2 linked regions of the Arabidopsis thaliana genome follow. The protein of the gene in region 1 interacts with the protein of each later gene in a pairwise test. Each region holds a gene or a part of one and is shown on either strand. Other genes may lie near its edges. The genes, in order: AT3G13440 and MGT9.

Region 1 (16,057 bases):
TGAACTATGGAAGATGCATCAGAGACTAGCTACTGGTGTCACATGTGCTCCCGATCGGTGATTCCATTGATTCAAGACGAAATCATCAAATGCAATTTCTGTCAAAGTGGTTTTGTTGAAGAAATGGATAATAATGATGACCATCAGGCTGCTGATTCTCTCTGGACTCCTATCTTGATGGAGATGATGAACAACAATCACGACCAACATTCTACCAATCAGGAAGACTCAGAATCTATTCTTGAAGATGAAGACGAAGACGAAGATGATGGTGATGATGGTGATCAGAACAATGATGGAGAAATTGATATAACTCATCAACTTGAAGAGATTAGGAGGATAAGGACTAGACATTCAACTGCTATTGTTAATCTGCTTCAGGGGATTCGAGCTGGATTATTGATCGAATCCGAGAACAACGAGGATAATCCCGATAATAGCGAGCTTGTCGTCTTGATCAACTCATTTAACCAAAGGATCAGGGTTCATCAAGATTCTGTAGACACCACTTCTGTTCCTTCTGGATCTTTGGGTGACTATTTCATTGGACCTGGATTCGAGACGTTGCTTCAGCGTTTGGCTGAGAATGATCTGAACAACAGGTATGGGACACCTCCAGCTACAAAAGAAGCGGTTGAGGCATTGGCGATGGTGAAAATCGAAGATAGTTTGTTGCAGTGTAGTGTGTGTTTGGATGATTTTGAGATTGGAATGGAGGCTAAAGAGATGCCGTGTAAGCATAAGTTTCATAGTGACTGCTTGTTGCCATGGCTTGAGCTTCATAGCTCATGCCCTGTTTGCAGATATCTGCTTCCTACAGGAGATGATGATGAGCCAAAGACTGATGCAGAAACATCGAGAAACGATGATAACAATGAAGATATCAGTAATGCTTCTATGGCTAGTAATGGATCATCACCAGACTCAAGTTCGAACAATTCATCGGTTAACTAAACTAAGGCTCACTATCTGAGACAGGTTTACTTGAACAGAGGAGAACTGATGGGATCGTTTGAGATCAGTCTTTAGTGTTTAATGTTATTTGGTTTGCACATAGTTTCTCAGATTTGGTGGAAAATGTATTCTTTGGAATTAATTAACAGTCTTTTTTTTTTTTTGACTTTACATTTTCTTTCTGGTTTGCTTCAATTTGTTCCGATTAGTTACAACTATAGTGACCAGAATTCAAACAGAAAAAAATGTAATAATTTGTGCAGTCATCCCAATCTTCTTTGTGCAGAAGACTTGATCCTGTCTTATGTGTATTATAATTAGTTAATTACGTAACTCTATTACGAATGTTTCAAATTTCTTCACGCGGTAATTTGGAAACCTTAGAATTGTTTTAAAAATAGATTACATTGCAAGGAAAATGTCTACGAAGTAAAAGAATATATATAATGAACCTTAGTCGTATGTTTGATTTGATATAAATACACGTAAGTTTAGAGCTGTATACCGTACCATCAAAGAAATATTCAACTTAAGTTTGAAAAGAAATGAAAAGGAAGTTGTGGTTGATCGGTTCCCTTTTGGTTCTCTCTTTGGTGATTTCATCGAAGGCGGTCTCAGCTCAACCATACAAATTTCGTAAACTTAGTGAGTGTTTTTATTTATGATGTTATGAAATATAATGTAGTATACGTACACTCTTACCCACTCATAACTAGCATTTGATCTATACGTATGTACATAAAATCTTGTTAAGTTGTAGCATATGACATACCACGATACAAAGGCATCAACACGCACACAAAATTTTCAGAGTGTTACCGCGTGAAGAATGACAGAATGGTTCTGCAATTTCTGAAATGGCAGAATGTTCCATAGTTTGGAATTGTTTTCTCGATAACGCAAGTTTACAGAAATGCAGTTTTTTATTCCACTTCTTTACATGAAATTGGTATTACGGTTATTACATAAATTCATGTTCATCCGGGATGAATCATCCCTTTATTTTAATTTATGATTCGCATATTTAATTGATTCATGTTTTGCATTAATCGACAAAGTTGTGTATTATCGATATCTATACTAAGAAGTTACCTAAAATGTCTAGAAGAAGATTTAAGAATGTCAATGAAGATTGGAACACCTCATAGTGACTCGCCACCAGCACACGGATGTAGGGCTGGTGGATCTTGTAAAAAGCCGCCACCGCGAGGCAATGGCGGTTAGAAAAACTGGTTTTGAATGTGTACAAACATCAATATCCTTCCTTTTCTTAGAAATTGACAACGAACCAGTTTATTTTGTATGTATGTATATATGCCTTAACTCAATAAAGATAACGATGTTCATGTTCTTAAAAGCAAATAAGATCCTATCGATACCAAATTTTCATATTTATAAAGTCTTGACTCTTGACTTGTAGATAAAATTTGTAATTCTTTCTCTTGTGTGTGATAATATGTTCGTTTGTTTGAATCAAAAAGACCAAGAAATGAATCCGTATACAAGCATATTATATTTGACCTTTTCCTAATGTACTTATACAAGCATATTTGACCTTTTCCTAATGTACTATGCATATTTTATTTGTTTTAAACTTCTTCCATACGCTATTTGTATATATATATACTTGTATCTAGACTAAAGCCCAAACAAGACTGTACATATCAAATGTCTTATATTTTTGCTATCTAAATGGTGCACCATGCACATTGACTACCCATAACTAATTAATTAAATCCATATTTTCCGAATGAAATTATTTTATTGTGTAGCCTTTGCGTCGTCAAAGTTCTGAACTATACAAGATTGATAGAATATCATTTGAAAGCTTTCATATAATAACTTTTAAGGAACCCTTGTAGTCGTATACGTTTGATTTGATATAAATACACATGTATACAACGTATACCACCAAAAAACAAAATAAAAAATGAAAGCAAAGTTGTGGTTGATTGCTTCTCTTTTGGTTCTCTCTTTGTTGTTTTCACTCAAGACGATCTCAGCTGATCAACCATATAAATTTCGAAAAATCAGTGAGTATCATCAATATTTGTCATCCGGTTTGTTTCATCTATATTAACGTATGCTAAAGCCAAATTAAGGAATCTGTCTTCGATTTTAACGACTACATATAAACTCAATGGAAGGACCTCATGTTCCGTACTTTATTTTTTGTAGAAGACGAAATAAGAGAAATGATCCATATTCACAAGACAAAGAAGATTCAAACACCACGGAGTGTGACAACGCCTGCGGGCCAAGGTTCACCATCCAGTGTAGGTGCCCCGCACGCCGGTTGATATGGTTAGACGGATCAGCCAATCACCCAATGCATATTCGTACATCGTTTTTGTTTCTTTTTGTTCTTTAAGATTTGACATTAAATATTGTATGATTAATTATTTATGCACCCCAAATGTAAAAGGACAGTCCAAATCCAGGGAAAAATCAGGATTTTTGTTTGACTTGTACATATTTTGTTTGAAATGCTGACAAATAGAGTATCTTAGCTTTATCGTCAATAAATGAAAACATAGTAAACTTACGGAAGTATAAAATAGTTTAGTATCCTTTGACCCAATATAGCGTGTATAACATAGCTATTTCTTGACTTATATGATTATATCAGTTATTATATTATATATGTAGAATATGTTTATTTCGAAAGTCTTCTGACGCGCTACGTGAAAACTTGATCAATAAGTTATGATTAAACAAAAGTTATATATTTGATTGATATATATCTATACTCATGTACAATATAAGGTATCATCCAGAAAATGAAGGTCAAGTTCTGTTTGATTGCTTCCCTTTTGATTCTCTCTTTCGCGATTTCGTCATACGTCGTCTCATACAAATCCAGTAAGTATTATTGATGTTTGTATATCATCATCTTTCCTAAATATGCTAAATGAGAAGCTATGTAATTATAAAAGAAAGTTAGATAACATTTAGCTACTTTTTGTTTTTTACATGCATGTATGCATGATCAGTTCAATTTTTTGATACCTAATGAAAATTGTATAGAAGAAGAAACAATAGCAGAAACGATTCACATTCGAAAGGTAATGAAGATCAGAGTACCTCGTAGTAAGTCACCACCCGATCGCCAATGGGGTGAGGGTGACTCGCCACAAGCCGCAAGTCCAAATTCAGTATAAGGCGATGGCTATACGATTTGTGGCTACATACATCGTATAATCTAAGAAATGTTCCTGATTTGTGAACCTTATTAGTTTATGCAAAGGACAAGATACTTAAAAAGAAACCCAATGGCCGGCTCAAATGTGTTTTGATTATTTTCTCTCTCCATACAATTTTTTTTTGTCAACGAACCAAGCTGTCACCTAAATTTTAAATTACTTACGTGAGATTGACCTTGTCTTTTGTATTCACTGGGTTATTATTGGACGTGAAAACACGTTCCTAGATAACGATGTTCATGCTCTTTGACATCTTATATTATTATTATATTTTTATACGATATTCTGTGCATATGCTCTACGACGATCATCACTAGCTAGGTGTGAAAGAACATATTTTTTCTTTAACTAGAAAAATGCTGTTGGTAAGTCTGGTCGTCCACAATAAATGTCTTTTGATTTTGATCGAGATCCAATCACAAATTTGAAAATTCCACATACGCCGTGTTATTGAAATTACAATCCCGCTTTAGAAAAAAAAAAAAAAAAAAAGCTTCTCTTGCTTTTTATTTGTGTGTACTTATTTTTTCTTGGAAATTTATAGTCCCCAAAGTAATAATCATCATTATGAAACTTGACTAATGTTGTAGCTTTCGCAGCGACTTGATCGATATAAATACCCATTAAGTGATGGATCCACAATGTATTATATTGCACTAAATTTTGTAAGTTTACAGATAAAGAAAACCCATAGAAATGCAAAGAGTCTTGTGGTTGATAACTTTCCTTCTTGTTTTTTCTTCTGCATATTCGTCCCAAATGCTCGTACCTCAACACAAATCCCGTGAGTTCGGTGAGTATTTTTATTTATTTTATTTACTAACTGATTTTTTTCTTTATCAGTTATCATCTAAATGTTTGTGTCAATCTCCATGTGTAATAACTGCAAGAGAAAAATGAAAAGAAAAAGAATCAAATTCCAGAGATAATATCAAGAAAGATTGGGTGTCTATGGTGTGAAGTAAAAAAAAAGAGTTTAAATCAAATATATATAGTCATTGTTATATTTCTAATTTCCTACATTAACTTTCTTATAGATGAAAAAATCGCAACACAACGTAGTATATCACCACCCGCAAGGCACTGTATTAAAACATTTCAGCCAGCAGACATAAGGGCATCATATTCATGTAAAAAGACTCCACCCAGAGGCACTGGCGGTTAGACATACATGTTTAGAAAATTGTAAAATTGTTTGTAGTTTTTTCTTTTTACATATGATCATTAGCAGTGATAATGTTTTAATTTAATTAGTTAACCGAACATGATAAAGTATAATGTAATTTGTAATGTTCTTTTGGAAGATATATATATATATATATAATGTTTTGGAGTTTGGAGTTTTGTACTTTGCGACGAGAGTATAACTTCTTTTTCACAAGTACAATATATATACCGCTTTTATAATTGGTCACTTTTAGACATAGATTTCTATTTATATGTCCGTATTTCATGGAAAAGGAGAATTCTATTAAAAACACTATATACATACGTAACATATCTACCGATCAGACGCTTAATTTACAGTCTTCAAATGTATATGAGCTATTCTTTTTTCTTTCCATGTGCTGCTACATATGGATTTCAAACAATATCATCCAGTATTCAAAAACTAATAACGTGTTGCATGGACCAATGTTGAAGATGAGCAATGTCAAGCATATGTGTTCAAGGGTAGGGTTCAGATGAAAAGACAATGTTGGTGTCGTGTCTCACTACATTTTTGACCATTTCAAAATACGCTATAGATTTTTCTTTGCATTCGACCTTTTTTTTTATAAACTACGTACGACTAGATGAGCTCAGTTTTTTGAACAAAAATACTAGAAGAGTACGTCAATAATCTATACGTACGTACAATCATAAGAATGAAGACCTAGTCTTCTCTAGTTATATCTCCATATTTTACGTTTATTTCAAAGAATTAGGACCTAGTCTTTTCTACAGTTCCTTTGATCTATGTCGAACAAAATTCTACTTTTGGATAATATGGATATGGATATTTATAAACAGATTCTACTTTAACCATTTTATGATCAGTAACCAAGACTCCCCTATACAAAAGTAAGTGAATTGATTCATATCTCTTATATATTATTCTACATCATATTTAAAATTTGGATTCATAACATATTTGTATAACAATTCAACAGAAAAGGTTTCCCTTGTTTTTTTTTTGTCTTCGTCGTAGACTATTATTGTTTTGAAAGTCAGTCAGATTATATGTTTTCCACACGCTGCCTCGTTCCAAACTTTTTATTTTATTTTATTTTAAATCTGGTATAAATACACATAAAACATACATAGAACTATTTTTAACTACAGCTATACAACACAACGACAGAAAGAAAATGAAGAGAAATTTGTGGCTGATTGCTTTGTTTTTGGCTCTCTCATTGGTGATTTCATCTTATGCAGCTTCAACTTGGCCATACCAAAACCGTAAACTTTGTAAGTATTTATCATCCGATTCGATCCATATTTTTCTTTTATATGACTAATGCCAATTTTTCTAACAGTGATAATAGAATCACGGCCAAGTAAGTCGAGACCCGCGCCCCAGTGTTGTTAGTAAGGCGAGGTTACGGAGAAAGAGCACCTGCCATTTATGAGTCATGGTGGTTAGATGGACCCATTTTATAATTATTTTATTTTTTAGTAACGAAAAGAAAAATCAGGGAATCAAAGAAAATACGTATTTAATAGGTTCTCTCATAAATTAGCTACAAAAAATAGTTCTGAAGTTGTAGAATTTTACGTTGTACTGAAAATAAAAGCCCATCATAATATTGTTTCCGACATTGAAGTAATTTCCGACGGTAACCCCGTTTTACTACTTGACAAAGGAGAAAACCATAACTCTTTTTGATTAGAATGAAAAGACACACATCATATATATGTTGGTAAAAACCGTTTATATTTAAGAAGACAGCTCATAAGTTAAAGCATTCAATTTTAAACGGGTTAGAAACAAAATTTTCTCAATTTGATAGACTTGGCGGTTTGGACGAGAAGACGATCAAAACTTCAGAGTTTGCTTCTCCGATGTTTAAATCTTAGCGTGAACTTCCAATGACGCAAAATTCCTTTGTTTGTCGCCCTTTTGCTTTCTATAAAAAAAACTCCTACGTTTTGATCTTCTGTCCGAACAAAAATTATTTGAGGAATCAAACCGTATTGATAAGACTGGCCTAATTTGGTTTAGTTAGTTGATTCAACGAACAACTATTATTTTTTAAAAATGGTTTTTAAAAAAAAATCTACTAGGTATGATGTTGATCGATAATTATGCTTTTTAATTATAGTATTAAACATGACACCCTGTCTCTAATTTGACCTCATTAAACTAAGCAATCTCAAGCAACTTCATCGATAAAACAAAAGTCCAAAAACTTATTAAATCTTCTTATATAATTAATGTTATTTCTTAGAAGCATCATTTGTTGTAAATATGTAATAAACAACTCCACCGCATCAAGTTTTTCTCTTTATATGACCACCCATTAAGTCTTTGCATAGTCCTAAAGCTTAAAAAGATGAATTGGAAGTTGGTTTTGCTAATTGGTTGGATTCTCCTCTCGTCTATTGCATCAAACCCAGCTTTGGCTAAAGTTACTTATCCAACTCGCACAACAAGTAAGTATCCATTACCTATCTCTTTTATTTTATAGTTGTTATTTGATAGATATTCAGATCAAATTCGTGGATCTATTATCTATACATATGCCACGTAAAACTCTTTGATGTATGGAAAAAGTTGATCTTGTAGAATTAATAATTGCTTTCGATCAATAAATGATAACTACAAACTAGCAACACTTTTGTTGTTTAATTTGTATAGAAATATACAATTGTTAATTTACATATACATAAATTCTTGAAAAAAATAGGAAATTTATTTTATGGTTAATCGAATTTTAAATAGGAAAATGGCTTGGAAATATACACATCAGCAAAGGAATGAAGATTGGCTTTACAGGCAGTTTTTCTAGACCTGCTCCTCACGGAGGCGGTCCACCGAAGATCATTTCTAAGTTATGACATGTAACGATCTTAATTAGCGATCCAATCTATATATAATCTATTAACTTGTGATTTCTGATTATTTGTAAAGTTGTTTCATTGTGTGTGATACTCTTCGAATAAATTAAATGAAACTTCGATATGTAAATTATTATTTAGTTCACTATACGATTTAAAATCGAGTATTGAGTGACAACAAGGTCTTTTTCATTTTCTCACCAAAATGATGATATGATTAACATTGGACTTTTCAACAAATGCAAAAATAAGGAAAAAAAGACAAGACTTAGAAAGTCAATATGTTTTCATTGCATGCATTGACGTATACATATCAGTATCACACCAACTGTAATGAGAACGACCCTGATATATATAATCTCTGCCTAACAGTCTAACACTAGCTAATTTATAGTTTATAAGATGTTATATACATATATACCCGGGAAGAAAGAGGAAGAAAGAAAAATGAGTCTCAAGTTCATTCTTATAGCTTTGCTTCTACTTTTATGCATCACATTTTCCAATTCGACCGTCGTTCCTTTTTCCAAAAACCGGAAAATTAGTAAGTCTTCATAACTGCATAAGTGCAAATATTGTTATTATATGGTGTTAAAATGAGGTTTGTAATATAGTTTTAACGTGTAACAAGCCAATGAAGAAGAAGAAGAAGAAGGTAGAGAGATTGACATTCACAAAGGAAAGAAGATCACCGTAAAAGTCAGCCGTTCGCCTCCTGCAAAAGGCTGGATTTGTTGCAATGATTAACTAAAAGGAGCTATGTGAACATTTTCATAAGATCCCATCCTTCAATTTCTATGAAGATAATATCGACCAAGATCAAACTTCAAAGCTTGAAATTAGAAACGTGTATTTGCTATATCTCAACCACTAATTTAAGGGGCTTTCGGCCCATTACACGCATGGGAAGATTCAATTATGTTGATTTTGTAAGTTTTGGGGCTAAAGTGTAAATTATTGAAACTTGTAGGCTTGATTTCATTATTCCAAGTTTCCACTTTTTCTCCTCCGCCGTAGCCGGTGCTTCTTCTTCGTGAAAATCTTTCGTCTGAGATTTTTTCTTTACTAGTTGAATAAAATTGAAGATTTCGAAGACTACCCAAAACCGCGTTTTACAAAAAGCCAGATTCTTTTTTTTTTTTTTTTTTTTTATAATTTCATTAAAACTACCCAATGGGCTTGGGCCGAAACTTACAAACAATTCGGTCCAGTTACAAAATTAGGGTTTTCTGACACATCGCCAGGAAAAAGAAAAAAGCTCGCCGCCTGTTGACCGTCGCTAGCAGAGCGACCAAAACCTAGATCCGGCGGACTCAAGTCCCACAGCTTTGTGGCCGCCTCCGAGAATCGTCCACCACCGACGAAAGATTCCGGTTTTCGTCTGTAGAGACTCAACTCCAACGCACCAACCCACCACAAGACTCCCGGAAAGCTAGCCGCTCCGACGTAGCGGTTCCACGGAACCGGATCCCGACCTAGCAACCCGAAACACTCAGCGATAACACTTCTCTCCCATCACCGGAAAATAGCAAAGACCCAGAGCCAAACACACGTCGATCCGGACCGGTGGAGACCAAAAACGGCAGACCTAAAGACTGGTGGCTCAGTCAGACTCTCTAGATCCAAAACCCGCTGCAGCCATCTAAGATCCAAACAGATCTACTGTTAACCACCGCATCAGACAACGAACCCCCCCTTACCCCTCTCCAACTTCCGCCGTGGACGCAGCGACTAGAATCACGGGTGAGCCTGAGAACCTCGCAGCAACCCTCAGCGTCCATAACCAAGAGACCCCCGCCGCAACCTTCTCGACCGACAAAACCAGAGCCAAATCCACATCAGAGAGAGAGCTCCACACCACACGTTGACGGAGACAAGCATCGGCTCACTCCTGGACTTCCTTGAAGAGGCTTCAAACCGACGATGAAGAGCAGATCGGAACAAAAAGAAAAAGGAAACTAAATCTACTTACCGGAAATTGTCTTCAAGAGAGAGAGAAGGGCACGACTTTCAAGGCTACGATTGAGCCTCCATCTCATAAAGCCAGATTCTTTATCTTCCATAATCGTATTAAAGCTACGAAAACCTCGATTTCGTGTTCAAAACTTGGATTTGCTCGCTATCGAAAGGTCTGACCTTTAATCCTTTTCATGGGTTTAATCGTTCAGATATGATTTCTCGTATCGGTATTATAGCTTAGAGGAAAAGTGTCGTAGTTTTGGCAGATGAAATTAAAATTGGCTCTGTATTCCCAAATAGTTGAAACCCATTTGATGAAGCTATCTTATCAGACTTTTACGCATAAGTTTTCTTGTGGTCTTGGATCGTGTCTAGTGGCAATTATCTTCTCTGAGTTCTTTTGCTTAGTTTGATTGTCTGTTGTTTTAGACGAATGGCTGACCAAGGATTAGAAGAGAGTAATCCAATGGACCTTAGCAAACATCCTTCAGGGATTGTTCCTACTCCTCAGTGAGTTCTTTTGTGCCTTTGTCTTTATTTTAGTCTCTTAAGAGTTAGTGTTTGTTTGATGTCTATGGTGAACTTTAGACTGCAAGCTTGTTTATATTTGAAATATGGAATACACCTTCTCAAAGTTAAAACCTTCTAACTTGTAATGGTGTGGTTTTTGTTTGTTTGTTTAGTAGTCAAGTCATTTACAAGATGCCACCAAGAATTGCTGCTATCCGTCTTGTAAGCTCGCATCGTGAGGTCTATGAACCATGTGATGATTCATTTGCGCTAGTTGATGCATTACTCGCTGATCGCACCAACCTTATAGAGCACAACCCTAAGATTTGTATGGAGATTGGATGCGGAAGCGGATATGTCATAACTTCACTTATACTTCTTCTTCAAAACGAAGTTCCTGGTGTTCATTATCTCGCCATTGACACTAACCCGATAGCTACAAGAGTGACAAAAGAAACTCTAGAAGCACATGGAGTTAATGCTGATGTTATCTGCGCAGATTTAGCTACTGGTCTAGAGAAGAGACTTGCTGGCTCAGTCGACGTGATTGTGGTGAATCCGCCTTATGTGCCAACACCTGAATATGAAGTTGGAATGGAAGGTATTGCCTCTGCTTGGGCAGGAGGGGAAAATGGCCGGACAGTCATCGATAAAATCTTGCCTGTGGTTGATCTTTTGCTATCAGAGAAAGGATGGTTCTACTTAGTGACATTAACTTCAAATTTCCCAGCAGAGATTTGTCTGATGATGAGAAAGAAAGGTTATGCTTCGAGAATCGTAGTTCAGAGATCAACAGAAGAGGAGAATCTCGTTATCCTAAAGTTCTGGAGAGACAAGGATGAGGAGAGCCAGGACAAAGAGACATCATCATCATCGTTTGTTTCGCAGTTTTCGAAATCCTTATCTTCGCTTATGGAGAAACAATGGCGCTGATACTACAAAGATGGCTAGAGATCTCATAAGCATGCTTTGTTTAACCAAGAATTCTCTAGTGTTTTAATTTTTATGAAAATCATGTTTTGTGTTGGTGGTGTAGTCGTAACAGTGATTTGATTTAGTGGGGTTATTGGTTAGTGGATTTTAACTGATGTGAAATTTTGATTTTCAATTCCACATTATGTGATTTGAAAAAATCAATGAAAAATTATAAATTTCTACTTGAAAAAAAATGTTCACTAAATCGCTAAATATGCAAAAATATAATAGCGTTATAACACTAAAGCTGACGTGGCCGAAAAGGAGTGGACTTTCACATAAAACCGAAAGACAGCCGTCATCGTAGCATTACCGCATAAATTTCCAAAATTACCCTCGATGTAACAAGGACGGTCAAGGGTAGCATGGGTATGTATATATAGGTATAAAGGGGCTTAAGGATCCCAAATCCGAAACGCAAGTCGATGACCTCCTCTCTCTCACAGATCTAAAAACCAGAAGCGAGAGAAACAAATTCACTCTCCCCTTATATAAGCACCGATTTATAAATCTTTTTCCCTCTTCGATTCTCAATTCTTTGTATAAAAGGCTTCTCCTTTTCTCAATTCTTCGGCTTCCTTTCGCCCAAACTCTTCCCTCGAATCTTTCCTTCTCGTCTTAAAGCTACGAAACCCTAGATTTCGGATTTCTTCGCTATCCAAAGGTCTGACCTTTAATCCTTTTCCTGAGTTTTTTCGATTAGATCTTATGAGTTTCATCACCTTAAGAGGATAAGTCTCGTTGTTTTGGAAGATGAAATCTAAAATTGGCTCTGTATTCTCAAATAATTGAAACCCTTTTGAATGATAAGTCTATCTGATAAGACTTTTAAGCATATTGTCTTGGATCGTGTCTAGTGTCTATTATATTTTCTGGCTATTGCTTATTTTGATTGTGTTGATTTTGGTTTTGTGTAACTATAGAAGAATGACTGATCAAGGATTGGAAGGGAGTAATCCAGTTGATCTTAGCAAGCATCCTTCAGGGATTGTTCCTACTCTTCAGTGAGTTCTTTTGTGCCTTCGTATTTGTTTTTTGTCTCTTGGGATTAAGTGTTTGTTTGACCCCTGTTGACATCTTTGATGTTTTGTTTCAGAAACATTGTCTCCACGGTGAACTTAGACTGCAAGCTAGATCTTAAAGCCATAGCTTTGCAGGCTCGGAATGCTGAATATAATCCCAAGGTATTTGCATTATATTGTGACTTTTTGTTTTAATAAACGGTAGAAAAGTTGTTTGGAAGAGTACTCTCTCCTTGAGTTGACCTTATTGTTACCTGAGATCTGATTGGTCTATATACTGTGTACTGATTAATTAGAATCTAAGATATTATCTGTTTTTGGCTTTTGCTAAACTAATTTGCCTTAGCTAAGCTCGTCTTATGTAATACCTCTTGTGTTTTATGTTTCCAGCGTTTTGCTGCGGTGATAATGAGGATCAGAGAACCGAAGACTACAGCATTAATATTCGCCTCAGGGAAAATGGTATAGTTATTTTGGTTGGCAATACTTTTTCATAATTCTGAAATTTAATTACATTGGTTTGAATTCTCTTCTGAATTTGGCGACTAATCTCCAATTAGGTCTGTACTGGAGCTAAGAGCGAGGACTTTTCGAAGATGGCTGCTAGAAAGGTAGATTTTTTTTATCTTTAACCTCTTTAATTTAACTTTCTTATAGATCTGTTCTTCTTTACTTTAGCAATAATTGCAGTATGCTATTTGCTCCTCATTTGTTTATGCTAATAGGAGATGTTTTATTGTTTAGTATGCTAGGATTGTGCAGAAATTGGGATTCCCTGCAAAATTCAAGGTACAATTTCTTTAAACCTTTTCCCTATCCAACATTTTTTTTCTTACTTTTGCTTATACTAAATATATTCAATTGTTACATCCTGCAGGATTTCAAGATTCAGAATATTGTAGGTTCTTGTGATGTCAAATTCCCTATAAGACTTGAAGGTCTTGCTTACTCTCACGCTGCTTTCTCAAGTGTGAGTGATCTTAACTTATACATTTAGTAGTCAAGGACCGACTTTTAGAGATAAAAACGTTGTGCTGATGGCCATTACCTCTCTCTCATATTGGCGTGTGGTTAGTATGAGCCCGAGCTCTTCCCAGGGCTGATTTATAGGATGAAAGTCCCAAAAATCGTCCTTCTAATCTTTGTCTCTGGGAAGATCGTAATAACAGGAGCCAAGGTAATATCTCACTTCTCTTTAGGTTTTGTGATAATACTTGTTATGTCTCTCTCTAGTCTCTAGCTCTTCTGTCACCTGAAAAAATCCTGAGATCACTCATTATCAGATGAGAGATGAGACCTACAAAGCCTTTGAGAATATATACCCCGTGCTCTCGGAATTCAGAAAGATACAGCAATAGTATGTAACACACCCGTCAACTTTCCTCATCTTTCTTAGTAATGTTTGATTTCTCGATTTATTCGTGCATGAACCTAATTGTTGTGTTTATCTTTTATAGGGTCACGGATTTGTTCCCTGCAAAACTAGTTGTGCGGTCTTAGCCCCTTGGAGTTGCTAAAGCTTGCTGAGAATTTTGCCCTTGAACAAAGGCTTTCACAGTAGCTAGACTCTCACCTTGTGTTTTGGTTCATAATATAACATTGTATATACACAATGGAGATTCTAAAGACAATTCTTCGGTTCTATTTTTTTTCTTTTTCTTTCCAAGATATGTCTTACATGTATGTTGCTGTAGTGTCCTCACATTTCCACTTATGTTACAAGTAGAACCTTAACTCAGTGTGTAGCCCTAAAGTCTTGTTTATCATAGAGATTGGCCAAGATTGTGAACAAAGATGGAGAGTTTCAAGATCATAGATTAAATAACAAAAGTGGTGATTACAGTATCCATTACATGTCTGAACCACCAGCATCAATAATTATTTCGAAGATAGGAGACAGAGAATCATGTGTACAATGCTAAGATGGGCTAGTAATTCACAGTGGATCTGATTGCATCCAATATCTGCATCAAATTGTGAGCCAGGGAAGAATTAGCAACAAAAACGAAAATATATGTATAAGATACAGACCAGAAACAAAACTTGCCTTGTTCTTGGTTGGCATGTAGAAAGGTTCGAACACTAGAGGGAAAGGAGTGTCCAGGCCACAAACTCTGCTTACAGGTGCTTCTAACTGCAAAAGTAACCAGACATGTAAGCAAATATGAAAACCAGACATTGTTACCAAAAATTATAATGCTGTAGACAAATATGACTTGTTTTTACCCTCAAGAAGCAACGCTCAACTATAGTTGCAGCGATCTCGGCCCCAAAGCCTCCTGTAACAGGAGCTTCATGGCTAATCTGCAACCGAAGTAAGCAAACACATTTATTCTCTGAGACTTAGGACAATGATACTCACTCAGAGAAGCTTAACTTACAAGAAGTCTGCCAGTCTTTCTCACTGAGGTCTCAACGATTTCCTTATCCCAAGGGATCAGAGTCTTGAGATCTATCAATTCACACGATATTCCTTCCTGCAAAAACATTTTGTTTCATCATCTGTATCGCCAAAGACTAATTAAGTGCAAAACATAAAAACTAACGTTTTCTGCGTCAAGACATGCTTGTTCCATGATAGTGAGCTGTGCTCCCCATCCAACAAGAGTTATGTCGGAACCTTCTCGCATAACCTGTGACAAAAAGTTTTCATTTATTAGTCTTAGAAGTGTACTAAAAGAAGAGACACTAGAAATGGAACCTATATACCTCTGCCTCAGATAAAGGTATCATATAGTCATCTTCAGGGACATCCTCTACCGCTTGACGATATAGCCACTGAAGAAGAAGAACAAAGGATCAAAGACTCTTTTACAGGTTCTTGAAGTTGAAAATAACTCAAGAAGTAGTACCTTTGGTTCGAAAAAGACAACGGGATTCGGATCACGGATGGATGACAATAATAATCCCTTAGCTTCCCGTGGACTTCGAGGAATAACAACCTACCCAAAACATGCAATTTTCATATACACCTAAGAATATGAAGCAAATAGAGAAAGAAGAAGCTTTAGTAAGAAGATGTACTTTGATACCAGGGACATGACAAAAGAAAGCTTCAGGGGACTGCGAGTGGTAATGTCCACCGTGACCAACTGCTCCGTACGGTGCCCTAATAGTGAGTCCTACAATTGTCACATAAACCCCAATGAGTAAAAACTTGGTGTCTCATAACCAAGAAGGCACAAGAAGATATGAGTTTACCTCCACAGTTAAACTGGTTTCCACTTCGGTATCTGAACTTTGCAGCCTCATTAACAATCTACGAAATCACAAAACTCCATAAAGAGAACTCATGCGTCATCATAACTTGGTTTAAAGGTAAAGGTAGCATTTTTACCTGATCAAAAGCCGGGAAAATATAATCCGCAAACTGAATTTCCGCAATAACTCGAT
Region 2 (16,438 bases), on another chromosome or scaffold:
ACCAATTTCGATTCTCCTTCGTGTATAGCTTGTTCCGAAACTTGAGGCATTACGCGATGAGTACATGAGGTTTGCTGTTGAGAAATGCTCATCAATCTTACAAGAGTATCAATCAGCCCTTGAAGAAATCACAGGTTTAGAATAATATCATATCCTCTCTGCTTCGTCATTGCAATGGCAGATATCACCATACACTCAACAATCTTAAAGAGTGTAATAATATTTTCAGATGTGCTTCTTGAGAAAGGAGAAATCAAAGCCGATGAAATCTGGAACATTTACAACACAGCTCCAAGGATTCCTCAAGTTAGTTATCTTTCTCAATCTTATCTCTCTGTATTGATTTTTTTTCCGGTTTTTCCAGATCCTTTGATTCATGAAAACAGAAACCCGTGAGACCTGTCGATGAGTATGGAGCTTTAATCTATGCGGGAAGATGGGGAATTCACGGTGTATCGCTTCCTGGAAGAGTAACATTTTCACCAGGAAACATTGGTTTTGCAACATTTGGAGCTCCTCGTCCCATGGAGGTATGTAGTAGAAACAAACCACTCATAGATCATAACAAGATTAAACTTTTTTCTTCTCTTATATAATACTCTTGTGCTATGTTTGATGCAGACACAAATCATCAGCGATGACACATGGAAACTAGTGGATGAGATTTGGGATAAAAAGGTTGAAGAAATCAAAGCAGAAGCTGTTATTCAAATTGAAGAAGAAAAGAAGAAACCTCAGATTTTGATGGCAACCCATTTCTTTTAAAATCATTTGTAAGTTTCTCAGATTCACGGTTTTGTTAAACATCAATAACCAGCCAGCAGTGTCCAGAAATGCTAACATGAATTGCTGATTTGTTACTGTTTTTTTTTTGTTTTTCAGTTCAGTTTTGCGGTCTCAAGAACATCAAATGAACAAAGCTCTCCAGGTGAAACTTTAGAGATTATTATGTATCATGTAAAACATAGAGATCTGTAGAAAAGAGTGTTAGTGGAATCACACTAGTTTATTTGCTGAGAAAAATGTCAAATGTGATCATTTTTATAAAATATTTTGTTATTTTTATTTAATTGATGCAAATTTGCTTGGCTGTGTAGGGCATGGGCCAAAACAAAAAAAAGAAAGTAGATACAATCTCATCTCACTTTTTTCAAAATCAGATTGCTTTTTTCATGACCAATTTGGATATCATTATCTATATTAACAATCATAGAAATGTTGAAATACATTTGCAATTTGAACACCTAACCAATGGCGACAATAAAGTCGCAGGTCGATATCGTCAATACTATAATCTTTGCATGTGATATTTTCCTTCTTCTTTTTTTCAGCTTCTACATTTTTTATTTGAGATTCAATCTATACATATCTGCAAGAAACCAAATTAAAAAGCATCTTAATGTCATACATTAGACTGTGCAACCAACGCTTGGAGTGACGCCACTAATGGTGTTATTGAAGTTCCTTTATTACTTAGTGTATAACTTATTTTTTATTCGTGGCAGGTTTGCACATAATTACATAGCCTTAATGCTAACATGTTATTTTCATGACGATCGGATACATACACATAACCGAATATCTTATCCAGTTTTGATAATTATGAACAAAATCTTTTTTCAAAATAAAATAATGATGATGAATATATACAAGGTTACATATATAATGGGATTATGGGACATGCCTCTTCTATTTTATATTAAGAATATTTTGGGGTTTGAGAAATGTGAACAATTACAATAATTGACAGTAGTTATGTCTTCATCGATCCTCGCCTCACCTGCTCTAACTATAAATAATAGGGATGTCTAAAAAGTCACATGCCCTGTACAATAACATCATCTACCTTATGTATATTATTCAAAGATTAGGTCAATTTTTGTTGTTGTAAATAAATGTAAAAGACAATCTTGAAGAAATTATAATACTATACCCAATTGTTTCTTTATGAAAAAGTAATCTCTCCGAAAAGTTAAGATTCTAGTGGCGAATCATGCAAATTTAAAAAAATTGCGCACAATACAATGGTAAACTGATAAGTAAGAAACGACAATTAGATGATTGATATGCATCATAAAAATAGTGGAACAACAAAATAATTGACTAGCTTTCTTAAAACACTAAACGCGAAAAATGGTATATACATTTGATTTTTAATTTAAACAAATGAAAATAGTAAAATAATTGAGCATATATTATGATTCCGTAAAATTATGCAGCCGAGCGCATATGTGAACTAAAAACACATGCATTTCAAAAACGTTTATGTGGATAAAGTTTTCATGAAACTCTTTAACAAAAAAAAAAAAAAAAGGTTTTCATGACACATTTGGAATTATATGATAGAGACATTGTTGTAACGTAGTTAAGACGTAAATAACCTAATTGATATCTTTGTCCCCACCATTTGCTAACACGTAACCATGCAACTTTAATTTGTTTTTGATTGGAGCCAATATATATGTAATATTATCCTAAATATGTATGTCTCCAAATGCTGCAAACCTAACTACTCATTATTAAATAAAGCCAAATTGATTTTGATTTTAATAATGTTTGTGATTGGAATTTATTATCAGACCAGGCTTTATTGTAGTAGCAAATTAGCAACCGACATTAAACTAGTACTAATATAAAATAGACATAGTTATTACTTAATGCTAATTAATCCAAAAGGAGAAGTATACTCATAGTAATAGTTAGAGCTCACCTCATGTTTTCCTGTAAAACAATAATTAATATTTGCAGACATTACTTAGCAATCATTATCTTTGTGACTTTATTTAGTTTAACGAATAAAGTGTAAATCCCTTTTTTACTTGTGAATTAAATGTGTCCTATGCAAAGTCCAAACAAATAAATCTACTCATTTCTTCTACTTGTTATATATGTATAGGTGGGTTTTTACTTTTTAGTTTATACAAATATTTCTGAAAATCCCTTATTACAAATAATGATAATAATTTGTTAGCACATGTGACAATACTTGCAAGTTGCAACGTTTTAAATCCTTTTTGGCTTTTTCGGTTAAAGCTTGCAACATTTCTTTGGCGACACTAAATCTACATGTAATTTTTTTATAAATATACATATATCGTCCGTAAAAATGTCTGAGGAAATTTTTTGTTTCTTGTTTTGTTTTATTCAAATTTGGAAATTGTGTTTTATTGGTCCAAGCAAACTAAAATAAAATCAGACACATGCATTGGATGTTGATGTGGAAATTCGATCGCTTATCTGTTATATATTGTTGTAATACATATTTTCAGAAAATATTCAAATAGTAAAATCCAAGTGGTGCATACTTATTTTTAAAAAAATTCATTTGTAAAAATACAAATATTAGCCTTCATATGTTATGAGTCAAATCAACTGTTTAGCTAATTGGATTTAGTTGAAAAAACCTACGCCAAAAAGTAAACAAAAGCTATAAACTACGAAGTAACTAAATGTTTTAGGACTATAGAATCTTCCATTACTAGATGGATAATTTTAATCATGCTTCCCATTAAGCTTATGTTTTCATCAAATTAAGTATATAAAACGGCGTTAATTGAACTAATTTATATGTAGATCAAGTATAATGTGAATGAGTCACGCGCATGAAAAAACTTAAAGTGACAGGCTGTCATGCAAATGAAAACAACTGTTGAAACTTGAAAGTCGAAAACCATTAAGATTCACGGGCTCGAAACAAAGAATGCAACTTGCTCTTGGACCTCGACAAAAACTTACCATTTGATAACTAATACGACACCGTCACGGGTCACTACCAAACACTTTCGCTTATTGGGGATCTATGACTTTTCTTTTTACACACACAACGTAAAATGGTGATTAGTTACTGGAAAACTAGACTTAATTGTCACATTGTGAACAGTATATAATAACAATTTTTAGGGCATTCACTTTTGTTAAAAGATGTGTCTATGTGGGATCATCAACTGGACCACATTAAGCTAAATGATTCCACATAAGTTTCAGTATTTCAAAGTAATCTTAAAACACTTTGTCTTTCTTGTTTACACGCAATAGTTAGCCACAGCTCTTAATGATCATTTTCAACCAAAAAACGACTTAGCAAACTCTCTCTTTCATATATGCACACGACACAGTCCATTGGACTCAATCGTGTTGAGTATCCAAACCACATATATCGAATTGACCATACCTTAACGCTTAACCAAACATAGTTATTTCACCAATTATCTATAAAGATATTGCTACACTTAAAGAAGATGCCTACTTCTTGATAAAAATCTACCATGCTTTTGGACGTGAAGAGATACACAGACCAAAAAACTCAAAGATCTCGTTATTTTGAAAAAGAAAAGCATATGTAAAAAAGTTTGATATGGGGTCGTCTGAAACATTGTACTCTATAGCCAAACGAAATCTATACTTACAATTTTATTTTATACCGAAAAAGGTAAGTTTATACGTTGAGACAAAAAGAAATAAGTAAATTTTATACGTAGAATATTCGATGTACACTTTATGTATAAAGTTTAAACCCACTATGCTTTATTCCTTTTTGTTGCAAAACTATATAAAGTAAAATCAGATTTATGATTTAACAAACACATGACAGAGGTCATAAATCCTAATACTAGTATCCACAAACACCGTATGGTCCGTATCATTATTTCTTTCCTCGAAGACCGTATCATCTTTTTCACATAATCTTAATTATAATAGGTCAAAATAAATAAATAAATGTCACAATAATTTATATTAACCACAGATTCTTTAGTGAGAGCGTAGTAGTAGCTTACCACTCTTTATTACTATAAAACCAGTCTCACTAAACCAAAGCCAATATCCCAAGAAATCGAAACACAAAGCAATGGGCTCTTCTTCTCCATTAACAAGGAGAAACAGAGCACCACCATCCTCTGTTTCCTCTGTTTATCTAATCTTTCTCTGTTTCTTCCTCTACTTTTTAAATTTCTCAAACGCTCAATCATCGCCGGTTTTCGCCTGCGACGTAGCTGCAAACCCTTCTCTCGCCGCCTATGGTTTCTGCAACACCGTTTTGAAGATCGAATACCGAGTCGCTGATCTGGTCGCGAGGCTCACGTTGCAAGAAAAGATCGGGTTTTTAGTGAGTAAAGCTAACGGCGTGACTCGTCTTGGGATTCCAACGTATGAATGGTGGTCTGAAGCACTTCACGGCGTTTCTTACATCGGACCCGGCACGCATTTTTCTAGCCAAGTTCCCGGAGCTACGAGTTTCCCGCAGGTTATACTCACCGCCGCTTCTTTCAACGTATCTCTGTTTCAAGCCATTGGCAAGGTAATTAATTTTTTATCCACTTTTGATTTTTGTTTTCAAAATTTTATTTTCGTCCTTTGCTTTTATTCTCTTTTTGGATAATGGGAATATCTTACTTATTATGAAACTGGGCCTCTCCTTTTTTTTTGATCTTTCGTTTGGTACAAGTAAACACTTTACAACACGTTATACTACGTCGTTTTCGTACCTGTAACCAATAATGAATTTCTCCCCACACCTGTTTTCAGTGCCATGATTAATATGATTATGATTCATGGTTAAGTTTCAGCTCATTTCTTCTAAGAAATATAATAAACCGAATATGGTTTTGTCAATACAATTTCAAACCGGATTGGATACACATGGCTTTTTTGAATGACATTGGTATCACTTATTTGTTAAGGTCGTCTCAACGGAAGCGAGGGCAATGTACAACGTGGGATTAGCCGGACTAACGTATTGGTCACCGAACGTGAACATATTCCGAGATCCAAGATGGGGAAGAGGGCAAGAGACTCCAGGAGAAGATCCATTGCTCGCTAGTAAGTATGCTTCAGGGTACGTTAAGGGTCTTCAAGAGACTGACGGTGGCGATTCTAACCGTCTCAAAGTCGCCGCCTGCTGCAAACACTATACCGCTTACGATGTCGATAATTGGAAAGGCGTAGAACGTTACAGTTTCAACGCCGTGGTAAAAATCTAAAAGCTAAAAAGACATTTTCCAGTGTTTTAACTGTTTTTGTCAATTGTGTATGTGATGTTGTGGTTTATTTGGTTAATCCGGTTCAATGGTACTAAGTTCGGGTTGGGTACAACATTTGGTTAGACCAAATACATTTTTGAGTGTTTTAAGTAACTTTTTTTGTGCGTTTGTTTTGATGGAGTAGGTGACTCAACAAGATATGGATGATACGTATCAACCACCGTTCAAGAGTTGTGTGGTTGATGGGAATGTGGCGAGTGTTATGTGTTCTTACAATCAAGTTAACGGCAAACCGACATGCGCTGATCCAGATCTGCTCTCTGGTGTTATCCGCGGTGAATGGAAATTAAATGGGTAATGATCTGATCTGATCCGATCAGCTAAGTTTAAATCCTTTTCGTGTGTTTTGGTTTTGATTTTGGTTCTATTTTTATAGGTACATTGTTTCAGATTGTGATTCAGTAGATGTCTTGTATAAGAACCAACACTATACAAAGACTCCAGCTGAAGCTGCAGCCATATCTATATTGGCAGGTTTGGATTTAAACTGTGGTTCATTCTTGGGTCAACATACAGAGGAAGCAGTTAAGTCGGGTTTGGTAAACGAGGCAGCTATCGATAAAGCGATTTCGAACAACTTTTTGACCCTTATGCGTTTAGGATTCTTTGATGGAAACCCAAAGAACCAAATCTATGGCGGGTTAGGTCCTACCGACGTTTGCACGTCTGCGAATCAAGAGCTAGCAGCAGATGCAGCAAGACAAGGCATTGTTCTACTCAAGAATACTGGATGCTTACCGCTTTCTCCTAAATCGATCAAAACACTAGCCGTGATTGGACCAAACGCGAATGTCACCAAAACAATGATTGGAAACTACGAAGGCACGCCGTGTAAATACACAACACCACTACAAGGACTAGCCGGGACGGTATCTACAACATATCTACCAGGCTGCTCCAATGTAGCTTGTGCTGTAGCGGATGTAGCCGGCGCCACGAAACTAGCAGCCACTGCAGATGTGTCTGTGCTTGTGATCGGTGCCGATCAATCAATCGAGGCAGAGAGCCGAGACAGAGTCGACCTGCATCTTCCTGGACAGCAACAAGAGCTGGTGATCCAAGTGGCTAAAGCAGCAAAAGGACCGGTCTTGCTCGTCATTATGTCCGGTGGAGGTTTCGATATTACATTCGCTAAGAATGACCCAAAGATCGCCGGAATTTTGTGGGTTGGTTATCCCGGAGAAGCCGGTGGTATCGCCATTGCTGATATCATCTTTGGCCGTTATAATCCAAGTAAGAGACTCTGTTTCAAACCGGTTTTTGTAATTGCAAATTTGAATAAACCGGTTTTGGTTATGTAGGTGGGAAATTACCGATGACGTGGTATCCACAGTCGTATGTAGAGAAAGTTCCGATGACAATAATGAACATGAGACCCGATAAAGCAAGCGGGTATCCGGGTCGGACTTACCGATTCTACACCGGAGAAACAGTATACGCATTCGGAGATGGACTCAGCTACACCAAATTCAGTCACACTTTAGTCAAAGCTCCAAGTCTCGTTTCTCTCGGTCTCGAAGAGAATCACGTTTGCCGATCATCGGAATGTCAATCGCTAGACGCGATCGGACCGCACTGCGAAAACGCTGTCTCCGGCGGTGGATCGGCGTTTGAAGTTCATATCAAGGTACGAAACGGAGGAGATAGAGAAGGGATTCACACGGTGTTTCTATTCACGACGCCGCCGGCGATTCACGGATCGCCGAGGAAGCATTTGGTAGGATTCGAGAAGATTCGATTGGGGAAGAGGGAAGAAGCGGTGGTTAGGTTTAAGGTAGAGATATGTAAAGATCTGAGTGTGGTTGATGAGATTGGGAAGAGGAAGATTGGTTTGGGAAAGCATCTTCTTCATGTCGGAGATTTAAAACATTCCTTAAGCATTAGAATCTGATTCTATATTTTTATTTGAGGAAGAAAAAAAGAATATTAATATGCTTAAGCTTTTGCAAGTTGGAAAAGAAAAGTAATAAAAAAAAGAAATTGTGAATCTCTTTAAAATTATAGCATTAGTAGCCGAAAATGTGGGGCATATATAAACATAATTCGAATATCTAAAATATATCATGTGTAATTCATGTGTAACATAAATCTAGCTAATATCAGTTAGAGTTAGATTTATGTTTGGTATTTCAATTTAAGTAAATTTAGTCTTTTTTTTTTTAATTAGTTGCTCAAACTAATAATTCTGATAACAAGCAGATAAACTCGTAGTATATCCCGATCAAAAATAAATTAATTTTTATTTTCTTAATCTAAACTAAACCGGGTTTTGTGTCGAATTTAGGTGATTCGACTCAAATATGAACAACATTTACCAGAAATCAGGGTTATTATTACCGGTTTATTGCGGTTTACATTTTAAATATAAATAAGATTCACCTCTAACAGAATATATCACGTTTTCCTTTTTTTCTGAAACTGTAAAACTCTCTCACAAAGCAAAAAAACCAAACCTAAACAAAAATCTAGAAAGAAAGATTTCCGAAAATCTTTTTAATGAAAAAAGAGCAGACAGGACGAGAATTCGCTTTTCTGAATCCTTTAGAGTATTGTTTTCTCCGTCGAATTCGCATGAACACTTGAGCTCAACAAGGTCAGATTCTCTTGTTCGCTTTTTTTTTTTTGATGAAGAATTCGACTGTTGTGTTGATGCTGGTGCTCTGAATTTTACAGACGGCGTGGAAGTGGACGGTGAGGTAGTTTTTTTTAGTTTTTGAAAGACATGGCGCAAAACGGGTACTTGGTTCCAGCGGATCCTTCGGCGGTTGTGACGGTGAAGAAGAAAACGCCACAAGCGTCGTGGGCTCTTATTGACGCGACGGGACAGAGTGAGCCACTCGATGTTGATAAGTATGAGATCATGCACCGTGTCCAGATCCACGCTCGCGATCTCCGGATTCTAGACCCCAATTTATCTTACCCTTCCACTATTCTTGGCCGAGAGAGAGCCATTGTTCTCAATTTGGAGGTTTGGTTCTGTTTTTTGGTTCTTCAGGCATTCATTGTTTCTGGGTTTTGTTTTTGTTTCAGAGTGTAATTAGTTTTGTTCCTTCTTCTTTATGCAGCATATCAAGGCTATTATCACTTCCGAAGAGGTTAGTAGTTTACTCTTTGATTCCTTTGCTTACCACACTTAGATTTGTAGGGTTTTTGCAGTAAAAAGTTTCGATTTTTATTTTGTTAGGTAGATTTTTTTCTGAATATGCAGATGTTCATGTTAAAGTTTGATTCTTTCTTGTAGCCAGTTTTTCAAAATGCTGACAATGTGTTAAGGAACTTGAGCAATCACTGAACTAGGCAAAAATTTGGCTAATTTTTCAGTTCTGTTCTTACTATGCTATAGTGTGTTGAAAGTTCATAATATCAGCCAGGCTTTGATCTATTTAGCACTATGGAATGCTTAGAGGAGTATAGCTTTTGAGTTCTCTTCTTGTAGTAATGACTTGGGCTTATTACAGGTTTTGCTTCGGGATCCGTCTGATGAAAATGTTATTCCAGTTGTGGAGGAGCTTCGAAGACGCTTACCTGTTGGAAATGCATCACACAATGGTGGTCAAGGAGACGGGAAAGAGATCGCAGGTGCTCAAAACGACGGTGATACTGGTGACGAAGATGGTATTGTCCCTAGAGACTCTTGGCTCTTTTCCTAAACCATCTAAACTCTGTGAAATTCATCTCCTTTTTGATGACCCTTAATTTGCCTTTTCATATATGTTGAAATGTCTGCTTGTTGCAATATAGAATCCCCATTTGAATTTCGGGCGCTGGAAGTAGCTTTGGAAGCAATCTGTAGCTTCTTAGCTGCAAGGACAGCAGAATTAGAAACAGCTGCTTATCCTGCTTTGGATGAGCTTACCTCAAAGGTAGGTACCTCAATGATTTATTATCACCAGTGATCCAGTTTTCAACTACATTTTTACATTCGTCTTGTAGATTAGTAGCCGTAATTTGGATAGAGTTCGGAAATTGAAGAGTGCCATGACTCGGTTGACAGCTCGGGTTCAAAAGGTGAGCAGGTATCTTTTTCTTATGACTTATGAGTATTTGTAAAGTTTGTAATATGAATAGAGAACTAAGTAGCTTCATCGCCTTTTGCAGGTAAGAGATGAACTCGAACAGTTGCTGGATGATGACGATGATATGGCAGATCTTTACCTTTCAAGGAAACTTTCAAGTGCTTCCTCACCGATTAGTAGTATTGGTGAACCAAATTGGTATACTACTTCCCCAACAATAGGCTCTAAGATTTCAAGAGCAAGTAGAGCGAGTTTAGCCACAGTTCATGGGGATGAGAATGATGTTGAAGAACTTGAAATGTTACTCGAGGTTTGTTGATCCTGCACAAAATCTTTTATCTGATTCTGATCTATCTTCCATTCAAATGCCAAGTCCAAATACACACGTCTTGATATCTTTACAGGCATACTTCATGCAGATCGACAGCACTTTGAACAGATTAACAACAGTTATCCTCTTGCTCCCTTTTCTTTCTGTTCTTTTTTGCAGACTTTTTTTACTTTAAAAACTTAATTTTTGACTCTGATGCAGCTACGTGAGTATATTGATGACACAGAGGACTACATTAACATCCAGGTATCCAAAAACGAAACCTCAAAATTTTTAACATGTTCTTGAAATCTGAATATAAGTCATTATATTAAAAGCTAAAACTCGTCGGTTTTCTATTCACAGCTTGACAATCATCGGAATCAGCTTATTCAGGTACGTGAATGTCGAAAGCCAAAGTTTTTTTAATATGTCATCTTCTTTTGTTGATCATCTTCAAAATCCTGCAGTTGGAGCTAGTGTTAAGTTCTGGAACAGTTTGCTTATCGATGTACTCTCTTGTCGCTGGAATTTTCGGGATGAACATTCCATACACATGGAACGACGGTCATGGATACATGTTCAAATACGTAAGAAACCAGAATTCTATTCGCATGAGGATGAAATAAAGATCTCTCTCAAGATTAACTTATGTTTATCGGGGTTTTTGGTTGTTGCAGGTGGTGGGCTTGACGGGGACACTTTGTGTAGTCGTGTTTGTGATCATAATGTCGTACGCTAGGTACAAAGGACTTGTGGGATCTTGATGGCTGAATTTGGGTTAGATGGAGAGATTGTGAAGGGGCATTGGGCAGATCTTGTTTTCGATTATTATACTTGTGGTCGTTCTGAGTTTTGAACGAGCTTCACAATTATTTTAGTTGTCGCATCATAAAATTTAATCAAACATATTGAAAAAAGCAGAAGCATTGTGACTTGTAATTGCAAAGATAAGCTCTACCATCGATTCCTTACAATTAGAGCATAGAAATCAAATTTAGGATCCTTGATTCCTTATTAGCTAGACAACTTTTCAATAATTATCGGTTGAAGCCCGTTTAGACCCGCGGGCTTAGTGCCTATTTTAATATCGCTAGTTGATGTTATAACGTTTCTATTTGAAGTCTCTTCATGATTTAGGTTTCCATTGTCACACACAAAAATGGTGTGTTTTGGATTCTCTTGTAAGTCTTATCAAAAGAGAAGTTTTTGAGATTACATTGGCAGAGAAGATTGGGCTAGAGTTGGGCCTGTTGATGTTTATTTTGAACAAAGTCAATTTAAAATCCATCCAATAAGGAGCTTTAGAAGAAAATATTTTATAAAATAAAAATGTATGCATGCGAACGAAGAAACAAACTCTGTCCTAAACCCTATGCTGATGAAGTCAAAACCTAAAAACATGATGTAAAATATTGCAACAAGGCTTTCGTGTTTCCACATACACATTTGTTACCAGATATGTTATTAAATGATTAAGAAGGTATAAAATATCGTCGACGTCAGCCGTTTCGCGTGGAGAGTTGAGGCCGAAGCTGACGGAATCGCCGACTAGTAAAGATTCCTTTTATTTTATGCCTTTTTTGTACTTTTTCTTTGATATATAATTCATTTTTATTTAAAATATTATGATAGATTCTTCCACTCTGCAAGGAACCTCATTGGCTGACGTAATAGGATTTGCCTCTTGGAACATCATAAAAATCACAATTTCATTCATTTAAAAGAAAATAGTCGTTCGTCTTTATTGTGGTCCTTTGGCGACAATTTTCATCACACCACGACAAAACAATTGGTATCAAATTATATAAATAAATTGTTCTTACTTCTTCTTCTCCCAGCGCACATCTAACATTTTGTTCCTCTCATTAATCACTTCAATTATTTTCCAACGAAGAAATATTTCATTTACGTACATCAATGATATTATTTGCATTGTTTCATATTTTTGTTTTGTTTTGTGATTGTTTCCTACTATACATATAACATATACAAATTACAATTGATGTTTGAATATGTATGTTGCTTGAGTAGAGGAAATTTGAACGTTTTCGCTTATAGTCTTATAGATCTAGATGTAAGTACAAACATAAAATAAAGAAACAGAATCACAAGTCTTTTATTTCGTTGAAGCTTGATACCACAAGTGCTTCGCATTTGGATAGTGGAATCTGATTAAATTTTTTTAAACAATACTAGGTTTAATGATGCCAGCTAATTCTATATATTTTTTACTCCATATTCCTGGCATGAGAAAAAAATAATCGTTTTTCTGTCTCGTTTATTAACAAAAGCGTCACATAAAATGACAAAAACAAACATATACATACATCAATTAAGTTCGAAAGACTCATTCAGCTGATATCATCATTACAAACATTCACAATATCCCAAAAAACAATATAAATAAATAAAAACCAAGTGTTCATAAAATTACGATGACGTCATAAGAAATTAGGGAAGGAATCAGTTCTGACCGGTTAAGACGGTAATCGGTTTAATACTTTTATTAATTCAGAGAAGTGACTTGTCGCAACATCACTACCACTCGAAAGAAAACAGAAAACAAGGGGCATAAAAGACTTTGTCTCCACTAAAGACGGCGTCGTTTTCATCGAAAAGCAAATTTTAATTGATTACCCAAAATAGAGCGTTGTCTCATCCAATCAGAACCGTTACTATCGACGGAGACAGAGGGTATTTTGGGTAATTCATTGGGATTCCCTCACTCGCGGTTATAAACGAGAAAGAGAGAACCTGAAAAAGCCTAACACACAACACAAACACGCTCATAATAAAAACCATAAAAATATCTCCTCTTCTCTTTTTTCTCTCTTTTTTTGTAGCCCCGCTAATATTTCGACACCTGTTTCAGTCTCTTTTTTTGTTTCATTCTTCTTCTTCTTCGTATTCCTCGATGTTTTAGACGAAGCAGGGACTCTCAGTTTACGAGTTACGGAATCTCTCTCTGTCTCAGATCCATCAGGTTTTTTCTTATTCCTTCTTTAGTACTGTTTTTTTGTATCTTGTTATTACTGATTGATCGTGTTATATTAATGAATGCATGGTTTGTTTTTGTTTCGTTTTCTGAAATTTGTTCAGCTTATTTCTCTAATTGTCTCTTGCTCTTTTTAGGGTTTATCTTTTTTTTTTTTTTAAAACCTTCATGATGTTAACTTTTTAGAGTACGCATGATGATTTCTCTAATGATTGTTTGATTAACTCTGATTATAACTTTGATTAATTTTTTTGTTGTGAATTTAGATCTTCTTCCTCAAAGTTAGAAACTTGTGAGATATAGAGATTCAGAATCTTTGTTGATTCCATTTTTGTTTAATAGTAACAATTAGTATTTCCTTAGATCTTGTTTATTGAGTTTGGATCTTTATTTTACAACCTAAAATCGTGAGACATTGCTTCTTGTTATCACTTATCACTTATCAAACACAAAGTTGACTTTCCATGTTATATAAGAAGTTTTCAAAGTCTTAACATTATTCTGATTTTGCTTGAATTATTTTGAGTAACAAAAATTATTTAGTTTTTTTTTTTTTAATACTGTGTACTAATCTGTAAACCAATCTTATCTTATCCTTTCTTTCATTCTGTTGTTTTGGGAAATTTCTAATTTTTCGAGCATAGAAAGATGTGTCCTTCACGTTTCACTTTTACCTAAGGCTAAAATGTTGCCACCATTAGTCATTTTGGTTGGTACTTGGTCCTTTTCAGACACAGTTGTAGCCAATTATTGGTCTCTGTACTTTGAATCTCTTAACATCACAAGCCGCAACTTGTAATTACACTATTGACTCAAATGCTTTTCTTGATTATTAGTCTCGTGTCATTGTAATGTTATTGATCTTCTTGCTTAAGCTTTCTACTAACAAGATTTTGTAACTGCTGCAGAATAGTTTCTTGCGCAAACCCATTCTTGAAGATGGACAGGGCAGATACATGGGGATTTGTCAGCGGTGGGAGATGTTTATATCTCAAGTTGCTTTTATGTTTATAGCTCTACAAGGTGGTGTTCTAAGTATTTATTGTTTTGGTCATTCTATCTCCTCCGCTGCATTGTTCTGTCTCTTCTCTTCATATGGATTTGAACGAGAGTGTTGTTCACTTTTCTCGTGGCAATGGTATTGCAAAGCTTGACAATTTCGGCGATACTGCTCTTAGCTTGAAATGTCTTGGAAGCAGTGCAGGGAGATTGATTGGGAGCTCTCACCATAACCATAAGCTTTGTTCTGATGTTTCTAATTGTCCTGATGGTGGTTGCCGGTTGGTTCTCGGTTTGGGTCCAACACCGCCTTCGTATTATTACAATGTCAGGGTCAATGATAATAACAACAAAGGCTCTGCTTCTTCTGGGAGTGTTCAGGAACTCTCATCAGGAGGTAACTCAATCCTGCAACTTGGTCCTCCTGCTGTGACCATGGATACTTTCAGCGGACTTGAGGGTTCTCTGTTGACATATGCGGATACTAATGTGTCCCAAGCTGCTGTTGATGAGGGTTCTACCTCAGCAAGGCGATCAGGTGGCTATATGCCATCGCTTCTTTTCGCTCCAAGGACGGAGAATGTTAGAAAACCTTCAAGGATGCAAGAGTGTAGTACTAATTGTGGAACTGATGCTTATAATTCACAGCTGAGCCATGAGTCAGAGTTCTCTGTAAGCGCTTTCTCTGACAGGTCGGCCTCTGCCACGTCTTCTCAGCAAAGGATGAGCAACCCGAAGAAGTGCAAGTTTATGGGATGTGTTAAAGGAGCTAGAGGAGCTTCGGGGCTCTGCATTGGCCATGGAGGTGGCCAGAGATGCCAAAAGCTAGGTTGCAACAAAGGTGCTGAGAGCAAAACTACTTTCTGCAAAGCCCATGGCGGAGGAAAGAGATGCCAACACTTGGGATGCACAAAGAGTGCTGAAGGCAAAACCGATCTCTGCATATCACATGGTGGTGGAAGACGGTGTGGATTCCCTGAGGGATGTGCTAAGGCTGCACGTGGCAAATCTGGGCTCTGCATCAAGCACGGTGGTGGTAAAAGGTGTAGGATTGAAAGCTGTACACGAAGTGCTGAGGGACAAGCTGGACTCTGTATTTCCCACGGTGGTGGACGGCGTTGTCAGTCTTCAGGCTGTACAAAAGGTGCTCAAGGAAGTACAAACTACTGCAAAGCTCATGGTGGTGGGAAACGCTGCATATTTGCGGGATGTACAAAAGGAGCGGAAGGTAGTACTCCGCTTTGTAAAGCACATGGTGGAGGAAAACGCTGTATGTTTGATGGTGGTGGTATTTGTCCTAAGAGTGTGCATGGTGGGACGAGTTTCTGTGTAGCTCACGGTGGTGGGAAGAGATGTGTTGTGGCCGGGTGCACTAAGAGCGCTCGTGGGAGGACTGATTGTTGCGTGAAGCACGGTGGTGGGAAACGGTGTAAGTCTGATGGTTGTGAGAAGAGTGCGCAAGGTAGCACTGATTTCTGTAAGGCACATGGTGGTGGGAAACGTTGCTCATGGGGAGGAGACTGGAAATGCGAGAAATTCGCTAGAGGAAAGAGCGGTTTATGCGCTGCGCATAACAGTATGTCACAAGATAAAGCTGGAAGCAAGGTTGGTTTGATTGGACCGGGACTTTTCCGTGGCCTTGTCTCTACTTCTTTACAAACCACAACAACTGCAACTACTACTACTACTACCACTGATCATTCTCAATCTGGAGTCAGTGCGGTCTCTGATTGCATGGACTCCATTGATCGCCCGCTGCCACCGTTGCATCATCAACCCGAGAAAAGACAGAAGCTGATGATACCAATGCAGGTTCTTGTGCCTCCATCAATGAAATCCTTAAGCTTCTCAAACACCGAGAGACCCGATATCGAAACAAACAACAATAGTAGTGGCAGCAATGGGAGGAACATATTTGACTTTATGATTCCTGAGGAAAGAGTTCATGGTGGCGGGCTTATGTCTCTGCTTAATGGTAACATGAAACAAACACTCCGTTGATGGAATCTGAAAGCTTCCTCTCTATGTGGTAACAACAAGGCTAGAGTCTGTGTAAAGCTTCATGTAATATGTATAG

Evidence for each region.
Region 2: the proteins of AT3G13440 (region 1) and MGT9 interact in a two-hybrid assay, tested with the Arabidopsis thaliana proteins (one large-scale study listed by BioGRID).

Annotation. Positions count from the first base shown.
Region 1 is NC_003074.8:4,367,748-4,383,804, forward strand, and holds AT3G13440 (S-adenosyl-L-methionine-dependent methyltransferases superfamily protein), read left to right. Parts: upstream 1-9,349; 5' UTR 9,350-10,327; exon of another isoform or gene 10,328-10,424; intron 10,425-10,586; 5' UTR 10,587-10,590; coding exon 10,591-10,667; intron 10,668-10,840; coding exon 10,841-11,600; 3' UTR 11,601-11,828; downstream 11,829-16,057. Other genes in the region: AT3G13430 (RING/U-box superfamily protein), read left to right, coding at 7-954; AT3G13432 (uncharacterized protein), read left to right, coding at 3,735-3,816, 3,982-4,115; AT3G13433 (uncharacterized protein), read left to right, coding at 6,509-6,608, 6,677-6,729; AT3G13435 (uncharacterized protein), read left to right, coding at 7,694-7,793, 8,083-8,198; AT3G13437 (uncharacterized protein), read left to right, coding at 8,601-8,742, 8,830-8,945; TBP1 (TATA binding protein 1), read left to right, coding at 12,570-12,646, 12,739-12,826, 13,055-13,126, 13,225-13,275, 13,409-13,453, 13,542-13,634, 13,740-13,841, 13,948-14,021 and 1 more; DIN4 (Transketolase family protein), read right to left, coding at 14,593-14,628, 14,712-14,798, 14,891-14,968, 15,046-15,141, 15,211-15,297, 15,374-15,442, 15,517-15,606, 15,689-15,786 and 2 more.
Region 2 is NC_003076.8:25,801,718-25,818,155, reverse strand, and holds MGT9 (magnesium transporter 9), read left to right. Parts: upstream 1-8,444; 5' UTR 8,445-8,631; intron 8,632-8,711; 5' UTR 8,712-8,760; coding exon 8,761-9,006; intron 9,007-9,103; coding exon 9,104-9,133; intron 9,134-9,496; coding exon 9,497-9,653; intron 9,654-9,779; coding exon 9,780-9,901; intron 9,902-9,971; coding exon 9,972-10,046; intron 10,047-10,136; coding exon 10,137-10,364; intron 10,365-10,458; coding exon 10,459-10,503; intron 10,504-10,586; coding exon 10,587-10,631; intron 10,632-10,730; coding exon 10,731-10,760; intron 10,761-10,834; coding exon 10,835-10,954; coding exon of another isoform or gene 10,955-10,993; exon of another isoform or gene 10,994-11,035; intron 11,036-11,044; coding exon 11,045-11,131; 3' UTR 11,132-11,458; downstream 11,459-16,438. Other genes in the region: EMB3144 (AAA-type ATPase family protein), read left to right, coding at 29-134, 230-306, 387-530, 622-765; XYL4 (beta-D-xylosidase 4), read left to right, coding at 4,847-5,296, 5,679-5,966, 6,163-6,332, 6,415-7,271, 7,340-7,929; AT5G64550 (loricrin-like protein), read left to right, coding at 14,458-16,362. UniProt on the Arabidopsis thaliana protein: Low-affinity magnesium transporter that mediates the influx of magnesium. Plays a crucial role in male gametophyte development and male fertility.